Lepisosteus oculatus: one gene and its partners. The protein of the gene in region 1 interacts with the protein of each later gene in a pairwise test. Links are inferred from orthologs where the notes say so. Each region holds a gene or a part of one and is shown on either strand. Other genes may lie near its edges.

Region 1 (7,844 bases):
GGAGGTTTACTGTAAAAGAACCCTCAAAGAGACACAAGAAAAAAATATGATAGTAGATTCTGTTATTATTTTAATACTGGTTTACATTAGAACAAACAAAAATACTGAATAAACTGCAGGATAAAGCTTCTATTTCTGTCAGTATTTCTGTCATTCTGAAGATGACGTTATGTCATTCTCAGTGCAGAAGATATTCGACACAGTCCAATAAATCTCCACCTGTTACGCTAGAAAAACTTTGGAAGTAAGAGATATGCTTACCTTCTATGGCTGATTAATTTTTTTGGCCTGTGCTAACCATGATTTGAGTTTTAACAATGAATCTGGGTTAAAATGAAATCCAAAGTAATAAATGCACCATACCTATACCGAGCCGGGGACAGAGGAGTTGGTGGGAACATGCCAGGCTCAAAAGAATCGAAGTACGTCAGGGTCCACGAGAAACTGCAGCATGAGATCCCAGCTATCACAGACAAAATCAGCAAACTCCAAAACCCTGTACGAAATTTAGAATGAAACAACAAAAATACACAAAATACCATCAGGGGGTTTCTGCTATACAGTAGTTTCCCAATTGACACAGATGAAATCAGAAGTGGGTTGAAATAGTTTTAAGATTGTGTTCTGGTTGCGCATGACTGATGGCCACTCGATATTATAGGCAGCTTCTACAAAAACAACGTCCTGTAAAGCAAGTGATGACATTCATTGGAAACATTATTTTAGCCAGCTGGTTAAAAATGTTAGAACTACATACTGTAGAGGTAGAAAAAATCATAAAGGAGCACTAAATACTTTGAACTAAGGCTTCTCTTAACCTCTGCTACAGTATATCCTGGATGTTCACAGTCACAGCCAGCCTGCTGCTTTTACTTTTGAAAGCTGTATTTAGCTGAGGAGAAACTGCAAATATGTTTGCTAAAATACCTGCATGACCTCATACAGCAGCCCTTGAGGAACATGCAAAGGTGAAGAGCTGTGCACAACTGCAAGAATCTGCAACAAAACGACACAACCTGCATTCAACCCTATTCATCAAGAAGAGACTTGCCAATCACACCCACTCCAATCACCATCCCTTCAACTCCATTAAACTCCCTTGTTGAAGATCTCCTCAAGCACTTCAAAACTCTCACTTTCAAAGACCACGAAGAACGTGAACAGGGGAGCTTGAATGAGTTTAATGAACAATTTGTGGCAGAGGTGTGAGTAGCAGAACTTTGATAAACAGCAGAATACAATCTTGAAATTTGAACAGTGCTCACAAAGGCATTTCATACAAGTCATGTAAACACCTTTACATTCACTCTTTATAAAAATAAAACTCAAGAGGCTAGGTAAAACACCAAGACTTACAAAGACTTCTGATTGACAGAATTAATGTTTTTTTTGCCTTCCGTTTATCCATATTATTCACTAGAAACACAAAAACTCTCTCTCTCTCTCTCTCTCTCTCTCTCTCTCTCTCTCTCTCATGGGAACACAACAATAGTTAGAGGCCATTCATACTATTTTGCTCTTTTTCAACTTTAAACTGTACAAAAACTCTATGACTAGTTCATACACCCTTTCTTGGCTCAATAACTTTACTTTTAAATGACATTCACGTGCTTTATTGTAGTTCAAGCAGGTATAGTAGATGCGTCAGCAAGCGTAGGCTGCAAAGGACAAAGTAAAGATTTATTCCATGCTCAATAAACCTTTACTTGTTCCAGGTGCTTTGTTGGTTGACTTGCATTAAACAATGTTAAAACACACCTTGTTCTTCATCAAAAACCCTCTGTAAGACACACCATGTTACATCATCACTCTTTACCAGAGCAGAGTCTGTGGATTTAAATTGCTTTAAAGATTCTAGCATTTGCACACAAGTAACATGAGCTCTTAATCCGATGCATTTTTCTTTTAGCTGAAATCCTTAATAACCCAACTGGCATTTTATGTAATCATTCTATACATCTGTAAATAATTTCAGTAACGTGTGAAATTTGCTCCTACTGTACCATATAAAATATTACAATATTTTATTTTTTTAGACATTTTTCCACCATTTTTTACAAACCAAAACTATTCTGAAATCACTGTTTTCTAAGAGACACTGTTAACATACAGTACGTTTTTTACTCTGGATTGTCATATACATGCACAATTCATACAAAACTAGCTCCCACAGACGTCCCAACAAGATATCAATAATTACATCTATATTTTCTAATATTAAACAAACAAAATGAAAGGGAACTACTGCTTTAATATTAATAGATGCAGTGAGAGTGCCTGTATAGTTTAGCAACCTCCATTCATATGGAAAACAATCCCATGATATACTTCCACGCACTAACCCTTCTTCAAGAACTAGTGCACTTTCCATGTACTGACATTCTAATTGTCCTGGAATTCTAGCTTTTCTTTAGAAATTTAAAGAATTAGTACATTTTCGCCACAACACTTTCTCCTAAATGAGATATTCATCCTATCCTTATCATACCATCTAAATAATGAAATAAATTATTCTTTATATATTATATATTATAACATATATCAAAATAACACATACTTAGCAGTTAACAGATAAAGGTGTTTTAAAAAGATACAATTACAATGTACAAATTGCATGGTAGTGTCTGTGCAGCATGCCTATTTAACCTTAAGGTGACAGAAACCAGTAAGTTATAATAATAATAATTGCTTACACTTATATAGCACTTTTTTGGACAAAGGGCTTTACAGGTAATGGGGACTCCCCTCCACCACCACCAATGTGCAGCATCCACCTGGATGATGCGACGGCAGCCATAGTGCGCCAGAACGCTCACCACACATCAGCTATAAGTGGGGAGGAGAGCAGAGTAATGAAGCCAAATCTTAGGCCATGATTGTTAAAGGCCAATGGGAAACTTGGCCAGGACGCCGGGGTACACCCCCGGTCTTTTCGAGAAATGCCCTGGGATTTTTAATGACCACAGAGAGTCAGGACCTCGGTTTTACATCTCATCCGAAGGACAGCGCCTGTTTACAGTATAGTGTCCCCGTCACTACACTGGGGCATTAGGACCCACATGAGCCGCAGGGTGAGCGCCCCCTGCTGGCCCCACTAACACCTCTTCCAGCAGCAACCTTAGTTTTTTCCAGGAGGTCTCCATCCAGGTACTGACCAGGCCTACACCTGCTTAGTGGGTTGCAGGGTGATATGGCTGCTGGCACTAGTTGAAAGAAAATAGCTGGTACCGAGAACACATGGAGAATTGCATGCTTGTTCTTATGGGTCAGTTTTAAATTCAAACATACAAAATCAGAGGACATTAGAACTACGGTTATTTCAACTGAAGTATTAGTTGTCTCAGTGGTTTTTACCTAACAGGTTTATCTCTGTGCCGTCTTCAGTTGTTAACGTCTCTGAACGCAAGTCTGAAAGAGAATGAAATGTACCAAAGTGTAACGTTATACTACATAACTAACGTTATGTACTAAAAAGACATATCCTTAAAAAACAAGTTGGCACTAAAAACAAGGGTAAGATAGGCTAATTTGCTTCCGTAAAGTTGCGTGACGTCGTGACATTAATTGTACATAGTATACGAAAGCGTATTGCTGTCTGCATGGAGATGTTATAATTCAGTTTCTTAATGAAAAAAATAAATAAAAACGGTGGGAAATTCGTTTACCGTGGTTTTGGCAGGTTTTTACATACTTTTCGTGCTATTAAATTATGAAAGTAAGACACGACCCAGAGTTGAGATAATTACTCAGTAGATTAAGTTAATTTTATACCCCATCATTATGTCATGCACGATACACCCAGCAGTCTTTGCCATATTTAGTAAAATAAATCCTGAGAAATAAGAACATTGACATAAACCCGATTAAATACAGCTTTTTCGCGTCTTGAATGCGAAAGTAAATCTAATCTGAATCTACCACAGAAAATGTTTTTCAACTGCTACCACAAGGTTAACAATTAAGCTAGTCCTGTAGCCCTTACTGTTGAAACTGTGTTTCAAATTAGGCGGAAAATTAATACAAAAAAGAACAAGATGGTTACCTTTTAAAATAACATAGAAGATCGCCAAGAGGAATGCAATGGCGGAAAATATAACTAAACAACAAATCATTGAAAATATTCTGGCTGGCCACTGTCTTCCATTTCTCAAGTATTTTTTATGAGGTACTGCAATCGTGTTTGTGCGCAACGGCATCTCTGAACTTGCTGGTAACGGAGCGCGGCTGATCATTAAAGTCGAATTTACGTCTAACCTAGCGGGGTGCTCTAAAGTCTCCAATTCCTCGTCCAGACTTCGCGTAACATTGCCTGATTCCCAGACCACAGAGTCAGACCCTTCAACTGCCTGATGAGCGCTGACCCGTCTAACACCCCGAGGCATATTAAAACAGCAATATCACAACTGATCTGCCGGACTGACTACAGTAATTAACCAAAGGCGCCTTAATCAAAAAATGAAAACGTTCTGATTTCAAGAAGTAATAAAAATAGAAACAAAACCTAAGAAGTTAAGTAATGGAGGTCTTTTTGAAGTTACCTAGCCATCTAGGAAATTTTACATAGGCTCCTGATTTTATTTGAATGTTTTTTTTGAATGATTCTGTTTCTGTTTTATAACAGTCTGGGCTAACACACGGTCAAAGAAAGCAATTACAAACACTACACATCATGCTCCGATCACCGATCTACATTCATCCCTCTCTCCCTGTTGCTATTTTCATTCTTTCAAAACATCGCGGCGCTCACTTCCGCAATCCTTCCACCATACGGAAACCATTTTCCACTCATATCGCAAACCGCCAATCCTGACAACCGTTATTGCTGTAAAAGGCGCTGCTATTGGCTACTTTCGATGTCAATCCATCGCAAAGCGTGTTCAATTGAGCCACACAATGACTACAAATGGCCTCGATCAGTTTTTAACTTTGCCCTTTCAACCCGGAGCGAATGAGCCTATTGTGTTGCAGTTTATTGCCGGGTGGAGAAGTTGGGTTAGAGAGTACACAGCCAACATGGTGAGTAAAGTTTGTGATATACTTTTTCATATATTTTACGCAGACTTTATGGTATATACAAAAAATAACAACAGATACTAGGAGTGAACATCTCTGTCATTATTTATTTAAATGGAAAATCAGCCCTTGCCTTTTCACATTACAAGCTTAACCATCGTTTGTGTTCGTGTTAGGGATTTCCTGCAATTCAGGGGACCCCTTTATTGAATAGAAAGGGTGTTTTCCCTCGGAAATCTCGGATGTGCATGATTTTTTATGGACTGTATTTCTATATAATGGTTACGGAGGCTCGAGACTGCAGATAAATAAATTTCCGAACTGCAGTGACTCGACATAATGTCTGGGCCTCTTATGAACGCGATAGTTTTTTGAAAAACAGCATTTGCTTAGAAACGTTTTCGCGGTATGTCCCTGTCGTTTATGTAAGGTTTTACCATCAAATTGGCACAGAGGTGGTCAGTGGGGGGTGTATGCGCAAAGCGAGGATACCGATTGAGCCCATAATCCTATAATTTAGGAGTGTGCAGCCCCTCGTTGAAAAACCAGAAATGATCAACAAATCGAAACAGTTCTGGAAGTTGTTAATGGGATTAAAATAGTGAATGGAGATTTAAGATAGTACTATGAGCTTGATTAAATGATAGACTGCCCTAGAAACTCAGTTTTGGTGCTTGGAAATTTAATATAGATTTAATATGTAGCTGCAAATGAGCTTTTTAATACATTTCAGTGACCGATGATTGTATGTTAAATCATTAACATTGAATCCTGCCATATTTTTCGACGGTATATGTTTTTTTTTTCAGCAATTGCTTCAGTTGCGAGACCTGTAAAGAAACGTACCTAGTCGTGCCTTTTGTTGATCTCGCAATATATGGGAAATTCTGAGGCAATGTCAAGAATGCTGATAGACGTGATCTTGAGTAGTTTAAATGAGTTAAAAAAAACAATGAAATGGCCATGTTTTCATCTGTGTTCCCTGTTCTACTTCACTGCTGTGTAACAGTAGTAATGTTGAATGAAGGAGTAGTTAACATCTAGACAAAGACTAGAAGCCAGTTTGGACAAATATACAGTATTCAGCGTGCCATTCAGGTTCAGATGCATAAGATTGACCACAAATACTTCTTAAAAGTAGGACAGACTTTAAAACATTTACTATCCTTAGTGAAAACTTCAAATACTCGTGAATTACAGAAAAAAAATGATTTGCTTGAATATGCAGATCTAGGGCATTCTTTCTTACTGTTGCACAAATGGTTCTGAACCACTGATCTCGATTTTCCTTTATAGCTAACTCTGCTATTTTTTTTTGGGAGGCTTTGAGTTACAATACTTGTTTCAGGTTTTGACTCCAGTACCTCCCAGTGTTCCAGCGTAGACACATGCAGTAATAACTGTATGGAGTTTCTTGTTTATGACAGTCTTCAACAGATGGTAATAATGGCCCGAGCCAAGCGGCACCTTTCCCAGGTGTCCCACCTTCAGGGATGCCACCGCCATTTGTAAGTTGGTGTTGGACAGTTCATTTATTCTTGAGTGTTTCAGTTTAGTTCTTCTTTTTCCCTTTGACAGCGGAAAATAAAATAATTCTTACCGGTTTTGTTTTTCTTGTCTTGTCTTCTGTGTGTTTTAAGATGGGACCACCTGGAATGCCACCTCACTTCCCTCCCATGGGAATGCCGCCCATGGGGCAAAGACCTCCAAACATGGCGCCCATGCCGCCGGGAATGATGCCTCCGATGATGCCACCAATTGGACAGGTGGGAGAAATATAATGCTCCTTTCAGTTTGCTAAATAGAACACAGCACCTCAGAGCCTGAAGATGTTTTATTTTCATTCAGTCCCTCTCCTAACAGTCGTGGTTGTTTTGCAAACTTTACTAAATCCCTCCATCCGTCTGTTTTCTAATTCCATCGATTCGCTGTCTCAGAGGACCTGGACTCTGGCTCGGCAAGTGACGGGCGCAAGCCAGGGTCATATATACGTGGAGGTTATATGTTCTCCCCATGTTCACCCGGTGGAAACCCATGTAATATAATAACAATGTTTCTTTATTAGCCCTATACAATTTCTTGCATTAGGAATGCGTCTTTTCGCATACCCCAGCTTTTCTCCACGGAGACACAGACACACAGACAGGGAGAGAAGCTTGGGGTCAGAGCGCAGGGTCTGCCATTGTACGGCGCCCCTGGAGCAGCTGGGGGTTAAGGGCCTTGCTCAGGGGCCCAACGGAGCAGGATTCCTCCGCCGGCCGCGGGATTTGGACCGGCAACCTTCCAGCCACGGCCGCAGATCCTTAGGCATAGAGCCACCGCTCCGCCCTTTTTTTTTTGTGAATGTGGGGAGAACATACAACCTCCATACAGATAGCACCCCAGGTCAGGGTTTGAATATTGCACTCCAGTGCTGTGAGGCGGCAGTTTTAATCAGTGTGCCACAACTTTGCTCAATCAACTTTGGGGGGGAAAAAGATTCACTAGGATGTTAACACTTGTTTTCTTATGTCTAGTTGTAAAGGGCAACTGCAACACTTTTTTTATATTTTGGGGTTAGAAAGAATCAGCATTGATGAGTGCATTTCAACAAACATTTCTGACAAGGATTTTAAGTTTTTGTCATTAAGACACCTCCTTAGACCTGGCCTGTGTACTGTGTTTACAGTATTGTTAGCAGGATCATTGACTTTTCTCCTCCAAATATATTTTTTTTGGAGAGAGTGAGCATTGCTTAAGTGCTTTTAGTATGCTCATGTGTGACCTTACTAGAGTGATTCCTCCTTCACAACATTTGTAAATGTTTTAGGCCACAACTTACTTTTTCAAAG
Region 2 (7,957 bases), on another chromosome or scaffold:
TCTTCATTCACTATTTCTACAAAATACCAACACCGTGGAGTGCTGCAGCACAAACAGCCAAGCTCCGAGGCGCAAGAGCCAGAGAGGTTACAGACGAGAGGCATCAGCTGCGTTAGTAGTTCAGGTGGGTAGCTGCGTCAGCATGCGTAGGCTGCAAAGGAACAAGTAATAGGTTTATTCCATGCATGGAATAAACCTATCAGCTGCGTTAGTCTGTGAATAGCTTCATGTCCAAGGACCTCCCCCCAGCTCTTACTTTACAGATTCCAGGAAACCTGCTCCTGCGATGTGGCCAGATACTCACCTCTAATCATCTACCTAGAACTTCAACAGCCAACATTTCCAAGACCATTCCTCTGATGTCTTAAAAACAGGACTAACCTCTGGTAACTACCCTCACAGGAGACATTAAGCTGGGCAATGAGGTCTCCTTAATACAGCCGATGAATTCACCGAATTTATACAGCACTTTTCACTTCAAAGGCTCCCAAAGACATATAGAAAAGGGGACCAGGATCAGGTGGAAAAGTGAGAAACTGCTCCACCAGCTGAGATAAGGGGGATCTTCATGTAGGCCTGGACAACAGAGCCAACAACTGGACTGTAACGCATGGTGTCATTGGGACCTGTAAAAGACCTCAGTCTGAGGTCTCACTCACTGGACAGCAGCTGCGACAGCACAGGGCCCCTGATCACCACACTGGGGCCCTGGTCTGGGAGTTGCTTACACTTGCAGCACCACAACAGCAGTCTGGATTCCATAGTCCCAGTACTGATCAGGCCAAACTCAGCTCAGCTTTTGAGTGGAGATTACATCAGGCTACAAGGTGGGAGCTGCTGCCTGTCGCTATTAATGTGAAGGGCTTTCTTTTAACTGTTGCTCGTTGGTCTAGGGGTACGATTCTCGCTGAGGATGCAGTATTTCGGGGCGGAGCGGTGGCTCTGGATCTGCGCCTGTGGCTGGAAGGTTGCTGGTTCAAATCCCGCGGCCGGCAGAGGAATCCTACTCTGTTGGGCCCCTGAGCAAGGCCCTTCACCCCAACTGCTCCAGGGGCGCTGTACAATGGCAGACCCTGCGCTCTGACCCCAGGCTTCTCTCTCCCTATCTGTGTGCGTCATGGAGAGCAAATCGGGGTATGCGAAAAGACAAATAGGGCCATAGGGCTAATCAAGTGATCTCATCTTATCTAACTGGTTCTGTGTGCTTCCCTCTACTTCCCTACTGTATCCCATACCCCCATCTATTATGTGTATTTATTTGGGTTTGCTGTTCTGTAAACTGCTTTGAGAAGCCACTTTTATAGGCGCTATATAAAAGTAAAGTTGATTATTGTGTGAGATGAAAACCCGTGAGATTTAGCCTATATTTGAAAATAGAGATTCTCCTTAAAAATCACATCTAGATTATAACGGAGCACGTGAAAAAAAGCCTGGGATGTATCCATCTGCTCCCAAGAGCTCAAAATGAGCTAGCTTAGTGTTAGACGGAGCACGGGGACACGGGACATTACTAGACCTCTGACAATGCACAGAGAGACCTTTCACACCAACAACAGCACTGCAGGTCACGCGGGGGCTCGGTGCATCACCTTTTAAAATGGATGACAACTAACTTCTGTAACTGACATGATGTCAGCTAGCTGACATGTTTAACGGGGGAAAAGGGCTCATCTTCACAAACAGGGGACGATCGCGCTATTGCAGAGCTATGAACTTTATGACGAATCTGAACTGTGGAATAAAAAAAAACCCGATCCGCCTTGAGGTTCTGAAAGCTTTAGATGACACGATCTTACCACCTTTCACGTGAGCTTTAGTACACATTTTTCAAAATGACTCAGCCTTTTGCGCCATAAGCCAGTTTCGCCCAAAGAACAGAAACCTCAGAGAAGGACAGACAGAACACGAACCGACAAGCAGGCCGGTTCCACTAATCACGGCGATCACAGGTTCCCAGGTGAAAGACCTGCGAGACACTGTCCCTCACCCCCACCCCCACGCAAAGGTGATGCCGTTCAGCAGGTATCTTATAAGGCCAACCCGATCTTGATCGAACAGCCAGATGCTGGGTCCTGCAGGCGAGTTTTGGCCACGGCTCGTTACGGCATAGATAGAAAACTGCAATCTTCCATTCAGACTCAACTCCGTGAGACGTGAATCGGTCACGTCCCACCCACCGCAAGCCAAGATGGAAAAACCGGCACTTAGAGGCTACGCTGACCGCGCAGACGGAAAAATCAAACCCCCACGCCTGCTGCAGAGGTCTGCGGGGCAACAGGCGAACAGCAGAGACCGACTCCCCACCTCTGGGTTAGCGGGGGGGATCGACAAGCCCCGGCTGAACTCCAGGCCTAGTGACCCGTGGACCGTCTCACTGTCGTGCCCGTTTCGGCCCCCGGTCGAGAACATTCAAGGCGCTGCTGTCGCCCGCAGGCCTACACAACATCCAGGGGGTGGGGGCATGGAGATCAGCATTCAATTACGAGCGCTGATGTTTCAAAACAAGAAGGGATCTGGGTGAATTCAGCTTTCATGGCGAGCAACTTGTCAGACGCGTGACAGCACGCAGCCTAGGAGGGCTCTGTCGGAGCCTTTTCACGATTGGGCACGGATCGCCCGCCAGCTTTAGATGAGGCACCCCGGCTTATCCTCCTGCCTCCCAGACATTTTACTCTGGAGGTGGAAGTATAAGAAATGGAGGTGGGCGACTACAGAGGTCCGTCCCTCCCGTGCCATTCATTTCGCAGCGCCAGCTCCAGAGACACCGAGAAACACGCTGACGCGCACCCGACTGCGGCGACGAAACACACAGACACATTTTATAACGAAAAGGGTAGACCTGTGTAACCGAGGCATCCTCCACGATCGCAATTTCCTCTTTGTCCTTCGGGGTTTTGACCGTGACCCTGATAATATTCCCTTCCAAGGCGATATTTTTGTTATTGTTGTTGTTCACGGGGTCTGTGCCGCTGCTGTCCGCCATCTTTACTCCTCCTGTTATCACTGAGTCACTGACGAGCAGCCTCGAGCCGGCAAGAGGTAAGAACCCCCCCTCCGTGCCCCTACCTCATCCCAGCGCCCGGCCCAGCGCAACGGCCTCGCTTCCGCTGGGGGGGCCTCTGGCGGCGAGGAGGAGGTATTACACCTAAAGCCATGCATGACACCGGAAATGGCCACATCCCGGCGTCCATCTGGGAGCATCTTGTCCATCGCAGGTTGCACATTCAGAGACTCCAAGACTGCATGTCTTTTTGAAGGTGGGAAGATACTGGAGCACCCAGAGAAAATCCCCAAAGAACACAGGGCAAATGGGCAAGAGACAAGCATCTTGAGTTACTTACTTTACCGTATGCTTTGAATTTTCTTTGATATTTTCTTATGAGATTGTGTAGTGTCATTTGAAGATCCGGTGAGATCCTCTGAAACAAAAACACACCGTATCAGCGTGTGAGAATGTTTGAAGGAAAGGGCAGTGTGTGGCGAACAATGAATGCCAGTAAAAAGGAAAAAGTGCTTTTGAAATACGTTTATAAAATACTGCAGCGTTCTGCTCCCCCCCCCTCCAGCAGTGGACCGGACCGTCGCCCTCTGACCCTTCCCAGCAGTCTCCCCTTCCTTCCAGGAGAGCTATATAAGGGGGGACCCTGAGGCATTCTCCCTCTTGTCCCTGGTGGCATGCTAGGGGTAACCTTGCAGCTGTGAGCCCCTACTCCCATCCCCCACCTGCAGCAACTAGCATAGCGCACCTCTGTACACAAAAGGGCAATAAATTCCTCTCCTTACTGCTGCAGCTCGCCTGCTGTCTGCTCATTCTCTCTATGCCACAATACTATATGAAATGTGAAGTCACATTACTATTACAATACTGAAGTATGTGGATCCTGCTTGTTTTTTCCTCTTAAGAACCTAGGCAGCAATAAGATTCGTAGTCCTTTTAAAATTTCAATGTACCAGATAATAATAATTAATAATAATTTTTTAATTAATAATAATAGCACTTTTCTGGAGACTCCACTCAAAGCGCTTTACAGGTAATGGGGATCCCCTCCACCACCAGCAGTGTGCAGCCCCACCTGGATGATGCGACGGCAGCCATAGTGCACCAGAACGCTCACCACACATCAGCTCTCAGTGGGGAGGAGAGCAGAGTAATGAAGCCAATTCATAGATGGGGATTATTAGGAGGCCATGACTGGTAAGGGCCAATGGGAAATTTGGCCAGGACGCCAGGGTAACACCCCTACTCTTTTCGAGAAACACCCTGGGATTTTTATTGACCACAGAGAGTCAGGACCTCAGTTTTACGTCTCATCCAAAGGACGGCACCTGTTTACAGTATAGTATCCCCATCACTATACTGGGGCATTAGGACCCACACAGCCTACAGGGTGAGCGCCCCCTGCTGGCCCCACTAACACCTCTTCCAGCAGCAACCTTAGTTTTTCCCAGGAGTCTCCCATCCAGCTACTGACCAGGCTCACTCCTGCTGAGCTTCAGTGGGCTGCCAGTCGTGAGTTGCAGGGTGAGATGGCTGCTGGCCATATAAAGTATATATAGTAGTAAAACAAAATGTACTTCATGGGGTTACCTTACGTTACAAGTACAACATAAGTAGGTAAAAGTGATGCACCCAAATGTACATTAAAAGTAGCACATTTTTGTATGATTTCAAAATTATTAAACAGCCAGTTGTTTGCCACCGCCTGGAGAATCCTAAGACTGAGAAAGAACAAAGGGACAAGCAGAGCTGGTATCTCTCTGGAGGTTTTTCATGCATTTGCATGAGACGGGGGGAGCGATAGTTTCATTTAGGAGAAACTGCGGAAAGTTTTCGGAAGACATGGGATACCTGATATAATACATGAGATTTTAACCGGGGATTTTAACCTCGTCGCGTCCCAGGATGGATAACTCGCTGATGGACTCCTGGACTGTGCCCTGATCTGCCTTTGGACCCGTTTGGATTTGGATGTCATTCTTTGTCTCCCCAGTTCACCGTCTCACGGACTGTCACTATTATTCTGTGCACTATTAAACCCCTGTGTGTTTCCTTTTACCACGCCTCCTGTTTTCTCCAGCTCTTACTGCATCGCATAGGGTCTACTACAAGACCCGACACGGATCTCAGTCCGTGTTCGTGACAAAGACTGCCCCAAAACTAAAAACCAATGCAAGAGATAAACAGTTACAGGAAACATCTAGTTGAAGACAACCGACTGGCTCTTTATTACAGGACATCATATATTGGACTCATTATGACTCCTGCAGTGATGAACTGCCCATTTTAATGCCTCTTACTCTAACAAGCAAGAGGGAGAGACATTTGGACGTGAACCACTGATGGAGTTCACCTGTCGTAAATCCAGAGTAATCGTGAGTGAACACGCCGGAGCACCTGGGGAAAATCCACACGGACACAGGGACAACATGCAAACTCCACACAGACAGCTCCGCAGGTCCAGAATTGAACCCAGGACCCCTGCCCTGCGAGGCAACAATTTTGATCAGTGCTCCACCATTCCGCCCAAATTATGCTGTCATTTTAAAGAAATGTCTGAGAAAGATCAGTATTTAGTCACCTGTCCAACATATTGATGTCAAGCAATTGTATGTGAGAAAACTGTGAGACTGATTCATGCGCTTGGCCACAGAAACAAGTGTATAAGCCAATATATTTTAACACCATTTTTAGAATCCCTATAATTCCTGTATAATTGATCTGCCATTTGTGTGTACCATGGCCAAAGGATTCTTATGCATGCCCTATGTATTCACCCTTGTGGTGGTTTATTCTGCACGTTTTTTTTATTTCCAGTTTCTAATGGTTCAGGCGAATTAAAACCATCAAAAACACAATATGGGCTTAGTTCCAATCAGTATCCCAAGTGATTCTTTTCCTAGACATATACTTGAACTTGAACTTTATTGCCATATGTAACTGGTCCATGTACTGGTACAATGGAATTCTTACTGACAGAAAGTCTCTCGATTGTAAAACAAGTGTAAAAACTAAAACAAAGTGCAAACAGTGCATCAAGACAATATACAAAAAAACAATAGACAATGTGCAAGTAAACATGTAGACAGTTTGAATGTAAACAATACAGATGTGTAAACAGTGACTGGAGATGTGCAATAGACAAGAAATCATAATGAGGTAGATGGTGATGGTGTAGGTGTGGTCCGAGGGGGATGGCTAAATGTGTTCGCCAGTCTCACTGCTTGTGGATAGAAGCTATTGAAGAATCTAGTGGTAAGTGTCCGTATGCTCTTATATCTCTTGCCTGAGGGCAGTGGGGTGAAGAGCTCATGCCCGGGGTGGTGACTGTCCTCTGTGATGGCCAGAATTCTACCACGGCAGCGGTCCTCATAGAGCTGTTTAATCTCGGTGAGACCACAGCCGATGATCTTCTGGGCCACATTGACCATTCCCTGCAGTGCCTTTCTCTCTCGAGAAGAGGTGCTGCCGTACCACACGGTGATCCCGTTGGTGAGGACGCTCTCGATGGTGCAGCGATAGAAGTTCACCAACACAGGTACTGGCATCCCCCATCGCTTGAGGCACCTCAGGAAATAAAGGCGGATATAGAGGTATGACTGGAAATAATGCAAACACTGTATAAAAGCAGAAGGCTGTTTTACATTTCATCCTTTTTCTACCCAATTCAGGGTTGCGATGGAGTCAATCCCAGCATGCAACAGGCACAAAGTGTGTCCACGCCGGACACACACAAGCACAATCACACACTCACACCAGAGCCAGTTTTCACAGAAGCCAGTTAACCCACCAGCATATCTTTGGACTGTGAGAGCACATACAGTACGAACTCCCACACACACCCCAGGTCTGACTGAATAGGATGCATTTCCATGCTTATATACCATATTTCCATTGTATTATTGGTCATGTATACAGGGTTGGTGGTAGGATAAATAATAACAATGTAACTTTGTTTTGCCTCATTGTCAAGATGATCATTTAAACAGCAACTTCATTACTAACTGTATTGTTCTAATTATGTATCAAAAACACAAACCATACATCTACTGCGAGTTAGCAGGTGAACCAGGTGCCAGGATATTAATATTACTATATCATAATTTGTGAGATTCTACGTGGCTTCCTGGCTTTCAGTGTTCATTGTGCCAAACTGGCATTTTATTTCAGCTCAAACCAGCCTGTTTAATGTAAGATGAACTCTGTTGTCTTAATTCCTCACCTTCAGTCTGTACCCCAGCTAAAGGCATACAGAAACAACACAAATTTATTAATCTTAACATGTTTTAAACACTGTCCTCATATGCAATTCCAAACCTTTCTCTCTTAATCATTTTGTTTTAGCATAAGGTGTTTATAATATTAGGTGAAGTATTCAGTCAACTATATTGAAAGCCTGGTACAGTGGAGCCTTTGATAAATTGTACTGCGAGGAATATTTTTAACATCAGGATTTTGTTCTGGATATGTAATAAAGCTTATCCATTTTATGTTCTTTGCATTTTTAGTTATTATTTTTTTAACACACTGTGTTCATGTCTTTTGCCTCTTAATTTGAATGGTACTGATCCGTGAAGTACCTATTTTAATTTTCAACCTGATAAATTAAAATTTTCTTAACCTAGTAACACTGACAGCTTTTTACAGATACACTATATTCCTGAATACCCTCATGAGATATTGGTCTTTTTAATCTAGACCTGCATGTAAATGGCACACAGGTGAGATCGTATAAGCACACAATAATTTGAATTAGAAATGTGACCCATTGTCATATTTCGTTTTTATGACACGGCATATATGAATGTGCAGTTTTACACATATAAGCAGAGTATTTTCTGCTTCAACAAGACCCCCTTAGAATATCTTAATTGTTTCATCTCTGACTGTGGATTCTTGCTTGCTTGTCAGCCAAAAAAAACAACAGACAATTTGGCAAGAAAGCATGACCATACTGCA
Region 3 (7,327 bases), on another chromosome or scaffold:
TCTATATTGCTCCCTATCACTTCAAGGAAAATACAAAGGATTAAAGAATGAGTTAAAGAGGTCATGTTTTAACCTTGTGTAACCGTTTGCAATTGCGATAGCCACAAAAGTACTACAAATAAAACATACTTGTCTTTTTCGGATATTTCTCTACACTACACGTAATGGCACGTTTCACTTTCTACAATCCGAAGAACCATTTCAAAGTCTTCAATTAAGCAAGCAATTCCAAGGTGGAAATGGACACTAGGGTGTACTCGGTTTTAACAAGAAAAGGTTAATATTAAAAGTACATTAACTTCAACCCTTAATTTCAAACCAAATCGGCTCAAGTATGGGATTGTCAGGTTCTCGTCAGGAAAACCCATCAATTAGGTACTTAAAACACAAGACAACTTATGTAATAAATCCTCTCTTCAGTTTAAAAAGGGTATTCTGGAAAACTGAATGGAAAATTAGCAATTAATGCAGCAAAAGTGAAAAATATTTGATTTTATGAATATTGTACATTATAATGGTGCTCTTATACCAGTTGAATTATTCACAAACGCAGGCAGGACATTAAGTCTACACTAGTTTCAAAATCTAAAACCTTGTGGCAGAATCCCAATGTCAATTTTCAACATGTATGGGGGATACTTCATCAAGAGGTCTTAAAAAAAATAAACAAGACGTACATGCGAAATGTATTTCTGTGAAAGCCATGGCATGTGTTGCAAATGTACCACCTGGACAGCAAAGACTAAAGCTTAGACTGAGATACAGGAGTTTTCCAGACGCTTTCACCAGCGGCCAACCTGACAGTCCCCGATTCCAGTGACCCGTTCTCAGACCACTGGCTTCTTCATGGGGAATTCACTGTTGCCATGCCGACAGCTTCATCTCTACGTACCACTCCACATCACCCAGGCTTTGGTAAATGTAGCTGGTCGCTGTTAGTTGGTTGCAAGGGAAAAAAGAACTGAAGTTAATACCATGGCCTAACTTTACCCTGAACAAGTTAACACAAAAATAAGGTAAGGACGAAACATGTACTAACTAAATTCGCTCACTAATTCTCACTTACTAGAATAACATATTCAATTCTTAAGATGGTAACCCAAATTTCAGTCACTATTAGACAGTGAAACACACCACACTAGGTAAGCATTTAGCATATACAAAAATAAAAACTTAAGATGGCTTACAAAAAAATCTAGAGAGCAAAAAAAGATTACTTGCCAATTAATTTCAAAGTTTATAGAGAGGGAAAAGCATATTACAGAGTATTTGGAGTCTACTTACAAAACAGTAGTGCATAAGTTCAAGATGTTTCAGATTTTAATAAGTCTATTTAAGAGATAGTTTAACTTACATCAAAAATGAGAGCAATTAAAACTGTAAAAAAAAACCTGATATGGGGGAGAGAAAACTGACAATTGAGGAACAAGGTTACACAATTGAGGGACTTTAGAATAATGCTTACCTTTTTCCTCTCAGCTGCCGTAAGTGATGAAACACATTTATCACATCCCTTATACGCCTTGGTGCTTCTTCAATCTTTGAGGCGAGATTTACGCAAGCCATGGCAACAATCTGAAAACAAGTCATTTTAATTAGGCAACATGGGTCCTCAGCAGAAACACAGCAATTTACAGAAATCATCGGGACACTTTAGGGGGGGCTGTCATTTAACGCGGATCTTCACGCATGCCCTTGCAATCCTTTTGGACCCCATCTTATCTGGACTTGGTACATATTCCAGATCCTATGTGCACAACGCTGAGACAAAGGGCTGTAAAACACGCTGGGCCTATTCACCGGATGTAGGCCCCCACACCTACTGCTAACGGCTGCTCGGAAGAATGTGGTGACGTCATTTGAATTATCCGGCAATTTTAGTTTCGCTTCCTCGCCCTATTAACTCGCAAATCACGCGATCAAATGCATCGATATATCACGTGTACCGTACAAATAAATTAGACCTCGTACATCCATACACCGAAGTCACCTTAAAAACTAACCATCGAGCAGGGCGACAGTCCGGCCTTTGTTCTTGCGCATCTCTTACGAAGTAAAAAAAAAAACAACAACCACCGCTTTTTAGTTACACTCTACCACCTCGGCTTTAAAACGCGGATCTTTTTCGTGGACTTCTATTTCGAAGTCCACGGCTGCCGCCTTTTTTAATCGCCGTCTTGCGTGCTTTCCCGAGCGAGGCCAGCCTCACTGGAAACGTGTTACACAACATGGCGCTCCGCCGAAAGTGCGCACCGCTAGTTCAGGCACGGGAGGACAAAAGAACTCACCTCAAAGCTGTGTTTCACGTAGGACTTCGAGTAGAAAAACCGGTGAAAAAGCACTTGCCCCGTAGCCATGGCCACCTACAGAACGAGGAGGGAAAAGAATGTCACAAACGACATCACAACGGCCCGTCTTGCACAACATGGCGCCCGCCATTTTGTCATTTATAGCCTCTTCGCCAACAGGAAAAGACAACACTACCGCATTCCCGCGGATCGCGATTCACCGGGGAAATATTCTAGAAAAGCATAGTAACTACTATCGCAATCATAATATGTGTTCTGCGGTGTTTATCGGGCACTGATGCCTGTTTTGGGGGGTATTACACACTTAATGGACAATGGAAACTACGGGACAGGTGGCTTTAAAAAACCCTGAAATGAACCAAACTAAATTATTTTCTTAAATAATAAGAAAAAGAACAGCCAGAAAACGAACGCTGCCGCGCCGTGGGTCGGTTTCTCACATACCTGTGGCAGCCGGAGCAGAATGCCGGCCGACTGGATCAGCTCGCAGCCCAGGATACGGAGGTCGGTCTCGGCGTGGAGGTCGAGGCCATCCAGCATCGACGGCGTTGGGGAGAGCCTCTCCTCCGGGATGAGGGAGTTGTCGATGGTGAGATAGACCTCGGAGTAGAGCTTGTCGCCGATAAGTATCCCTTCATTGGCGGCAGGGATGGTGGGGACAGCAGAGACAGAACCGCCGGCCATCTTAGCATCAGTCGAAAGTACTCAACTCGGCACCCGCACCGCGAGTAGGAAAGGGACAGCGGTGACGTAGGCAAGCCGAAGAACACCGACACCAGGCGCGGTGAACTGTATCCGCCCGCAAATAAATACAACCTGGGGAGGAAGTAGTCCCTGTACTCCTGTTGTAGATTTTCCAAAGTTAAATCGTGGAATGAAAACAGGACTGTTTCGTTTTTCAGTTCAACACAGATGGCTTTACACACACTTTTTCTGGAATTATATAATTTGTACACCTTTTAATTATTATAATGAAAACAAAACTGACAATAAAGGGGCACAAGCAAGTTTTCGCTGTTCTTTGGCTGTTGGTGTTTCTTTGTTTCAGTTTTGAGGTGTTTTTTGTATCGTGTGGGGTTTTATCTGATTCTTATTGTTTTAAAATGTTTAAATAAAAAAAACCCATAATATAACTTGATCATACAGCTACAAGTGTATGATATTTAGCGACGGCGTACAGGAGTAACTTTTAACTTCTATCAAACTGAAAAATGATATGAAGAGAGGACGTTTTTGAAACCCAAGATACGATAAAAGCCTCTTGTTATGTTTAAATGTGTAATATTAAGAATATCGATTCTGTGATGCTTTTGTTTTGTTTCTATGTGAGCCAGCGTGTGTGCTGTACTCTAATGACTGAAAACACGACACAATACAGTAGGACCAGAAGACATGCTGTCCTCACAGGAATATCTCACCCCGTTATAGGGGCGATCAATTGCGCTGATTGTTGTTTTCTGACTTTTTTTAATAAAGCTGTCAATGATTTACAAGCACATTCTGTGTTACATGCGAGTGCAATTTCAATTCATGCAGTCGTTTTTGTCTGCGCGATTTTACATGTCAAGCGTCTCCCCTTCCCCGTCTTCCAAGCCAACACTTTTAACGACATGTGCATTTCAATAATCTACTGTTTCGGGATCCTGTGGTCACTGCTGTCGGCCAGCGAGGAGTAGCACGCAAAACGCCTTTTGAAACCCTTCACCCACCCAGTCGTGACTGGGGAAGTCCCCGCGACCTCGCACATATCACTCCGCCGCCGCTCCGGCCGTGTGACGTCAACCGCTCTTTTCCTGCGAAATGGACCCTGGGAAACGTCTGTGCGACGTAAGCCGAGCGGCGTTATGGCGGCCGCGGTGCCCAGACGCCCACTTCGCCAGCCGCTGTCGTCACTTACCGGCTTTTGTGCTCGGTTTCCGGCTTCTCTTTCCTAAGACCCGTACGAAGCAAGTCAACGTTAGGGGGCGGTAGGCAAGGAAGCGAGTTTGAAGTTTGTTGCGGAGTTCGGCCAGTGTAGTTTTTAAAACAAGACGGAAAACGGTGAAAGACTGGCGGAGGTGTGCGGTTGAGCTGAGAGGGACAGCACGTACCAAATATATTTGGTTCCTCAAAGTCAAGTAAAAGTTGTGTTTTGAAAAGGACAGGTATACAGGCGAGTGGCAAAAGGTGAAACGTATGTTGGGTGGTTGATTAAACAACTCCTTTGCAGTCATTTCTTTGTTCCAGTTAACTTTTATCTACGAGTGTCACACATTGCATGTGTAGTGAAGGTGGACTTCTCGTCTTTTAACCAGAAGAAAAAAAAAATTTAGAAGTAAAATTTGGTTGCTAGTAGCTAATGGGATGATCTCATCCAGCCATTTCTTGAAAGAAACCGGATTTTCGGCTTCAACAACATGGTTGACTCCCACAGTCCTTTGTGTAAAAAGTGCCTCCAGTTCTTTGTTAAAAATGCACCTCCCTAGTTTCCATCTGTATCATGTGGTTCATGTTTCTCTATTGATTCTGAGTCGATTTGGTTGTCTTTGTTAGTGCATTTGAGCATTTTCAATAAATTAGTAAGGATCCCTCAGTCTTCCAGGCTTCAGACTAAAATTATTGCTAATTTCTGGAGTGATTCTAGAGCTACAACATAATTTGCATAACACGGTGAGCTAAATTGTATATAATATTCTAAAGTAGGTAATACTAGTTCATTGTTCAATTTTAACAAAACATTCCATGATTTTAATTCTTCTCTTTTAACCGTGTAAGTATTCAGTTTGTCTTCATTATCACTTCCACATAGCCTAGAGGGTGAAAATAGTCTAAAAACACCTGTCGTTTGTCATAAGCAGATGTTTCACATTTCACGCCAAGTGCAATGTTTTCCATTTTTATATTTGTAATTAACAGTTTTGCCACCTGCAACACTATGAAAAATAAAAAAACTGATTCCTAGACCTTGTAAGATCTTATGGTTTCATTTTTTTTGCTTGCCAGGTTACATCTTGCTTGAACTGCTATCATTATTTCAAATGGTGCACTGCAAATGTACAAACCTACATGTTAAGGGTCCCTGTGATTTTTTTTTTGTCTTCGGATCCCACTCCTAAACACATGAATGCAGCAAATTAGTCATTTATAAGTGCACTTTTCAAGCACACTGCTGAAGTGAGTTTCCTAAAAATGAAGCTTTAGACTAGACATAAAATCAAAATTTGGTTTAACGCCTGTGGTTCAGAGAATAGATACTATGACCAATGTTGAGGAGACAAATGGAGGAAAACTGAAACAAGTTGATGACTTTAAATACCTTGGATCAAAACTGGTAAAGGGAGGAGAAACACTGGAGGCAGTAAAACAAAGAGTGAAAGCTGGATGGAACAAGTGGAGAGAGATAACTGGAATAATCTGTGACAGGAAAATTCCCAGAAAGTTAAAGTGCAAAATGTACAAGACTGTGATTAGACCTGTACTACTATATGGAGCTGAATGCTTGGCAGTTGGAAAGAGGGAAGAAAACTTGATGAGAAGAACTGAAATGAGGATGTTGAGATGGATTCTGCAGATTTCAATGAAGGATAAGATCAGAAATGAAGAAATCCGTAGACGATGTAGGGTGGTGGATGTGGTTGAGAAGATGCGAGAGGCGAGGTTACAGTGGTATGGACATATCATGAGGAGGGATGTTGAGGAAGTAACAAAGAGGGTAATGGAATTTGAGGTGGAAGGTAACAGAGGAAGAGGCAGGCCTAGAAAGAGATGGATAGATTGTGTGAGAAAAGATATGGAGGTATGTGAAGTGAGTGAGGAAGATGTGCTCGACAGAGACAAATGGAGAAGAGCAACCAAAGCAGCTGACCCCAGGACAGTCTGGGACTAAGGCTGTGAAAAAGAAGAAGAAGAAGAAGAAGAAGAAGCCTGTGGTTCAGAGAATACAAAACCAACACTTTGACAATGACCAAGCTGGGGGCTACATTTCATTAGGAGATCGATCTGAGGACCATTTGGGTGAGTTTCCTGTTCTACCCAATACTCAAAAAGTCATAGTGAGGGGGTACGAACAGGTAAAACTCGTTCAACCTGAAAATCAGCCCAGTTGTTTAATTGAGATCCTAACAATGTGGGCAAACACAAGCGAGTGGAAAAACAAGAAGACTTTTTCAGACTGAGTACTCACTACCCTGTGGTTAAGTATTTATTTTAACAATAAAACCTGGTCTTAACCCAAGGAGTTATTCTCTCTGATTATATCATGTCAATTTCACTAGAGTTGGGAGTTACAGTAGAACTGATTTTTTAAAATTAAATACAATTAGGAAGGCAGCAAAGGAACAAGTAAAGGTTTATTCCATGCTGAAAAGAGAAGAAAAGAAACGTTTCGGCTGTGGAGCCTTCTTCGGTGGGAGGAGGTGTTGAATGTAATATTACGTCGGAAACAGAAATTCCTCTTTTATTAATTATTTTCCGGTTTTCATTTTTCTGTAGACTGTGTTACTCAAAAACACCATTCACGGAAGTGTATAGAATATGAAATAAGAAAACATTAACATGGACGCCAGTTGTTTTCACGTTTTCTTTGTTAACTCATAAAACGCTTTTAATCATCTCTCTGTTTTGGGGGGATTTGTGACCCCACAATTGTGCTGGTGAACGTCCATATAGCCACAGTCCGTGTACAGAGCTCTGATTTCCCATTCACAACATTAGAAAGAATAATCTTAGCATCCCATTAGCAGTGTTGCACAAAAAGCACATGGACGTGTTGCAGAATTCATCAGTTCGATATTCCGTCATCTAGTTTTCTCTGTAAAAGCCCGTGCGCTACTGCAAACTGAATAGCACGTGTTTAACCTTCGGCTTTGGATGAGGCTTGCTGTATCCCTGAATGACCTGCAGAGCGCCGGACTGCTTGTTCTCCAGAGCGAGGTCTAGAGCCGTCTCCTTCCAGTGCGTCTCCAGCGAGGCGTCGGCCCCCTTGTCCAGCAGGAGCTTCAGCATTTTGCTGTGGCCCCTTTCCGAGGCGAGGTGCAGGG

The links.
Region 2: the proteins of prpf40a (region 1) and ubqln4 interact in a two-hybrid assay, tested with the Homo sapiens proteins (2 studies listed by BioGRID and IntAct). The link is inferred for Lepisosteus oculatus from reciprocal best matches to the Homo sapiens genes PRPF40A and UBQLN4.
Region 3: the proteins of prpf40a (region 1) and ccnl1a interact in binary tests that used the Homo sapiens proteins (3 or more experiments, as listed by UniProt). The link is inferred for Lepisosteus oculatus from reciprocal best matches to the Homo sapiens genes PRPF40A and CCNL1.

What each region holds. Positions count from the first base shown.
Region 1 is NC_090707.1:11,846,804-11,854,647, reverse strand, and holds the start of prpf40a (pre-mRNA-processing factor 40 homolog A), read left to right. Parts: upstream 1-4,806; 5' UTR 4,807-4,893; coding exon 4,894-5,016; intron 5,017-6,440; coding exon 6,441-6,521; intron 6,522-6,653; coding exon 6,654-6,779; intron 6,780-7,844. Other genes in the region: arl6ip6 (ADP-ribosylation factor-like protein 6-interacting protein 6), read right to left, coding at 364-496, 3,355-3,408, 4,043-4,382.
Region 2 is NC_090722.1:2,987,271-2,995,227, reverse strand, and holds the start of ubqln4 (ubiquilin-4), read right to left. Parts: upstream 3,052-7,957; 5' UTR 2,984-3,051; coding exon 2,840-2,983; intron 1-2,839. UniProt on the Homo sapiens protein: Regulator of protein degradation that mediates the proteasomal targeting of misfolded, mislocalized or accumulated proteins.
Region 3 is NC_090708.1:4,677,178-4,684,504, forward strand, and holds the start of ccnl1a (cyclin-L1a), read right to left. Parts: upstream 3,052-7,327; 5' UTR 2,994-3,051; coding exon 2,754-2,993; intron 2,364-2,753; coding exon 2,289-2,363; intron 1,576-2,288; coding exon 1,466-1,575; intron 1-1,465. Other genes in the region: ankrd67 (ankyrin repeat domain-containing protein), read right to left, coding at 7,116-7,327. UniProt on the Homo sapiens protein: Involved in pre-mRNA splicing. Functions in association with cyclin-dependent kinases (CDKs). Inhibited by the CDK-specific inhibitor CDKN1A/p21. May play a role in the regulation of RNA polymerase II (pol II).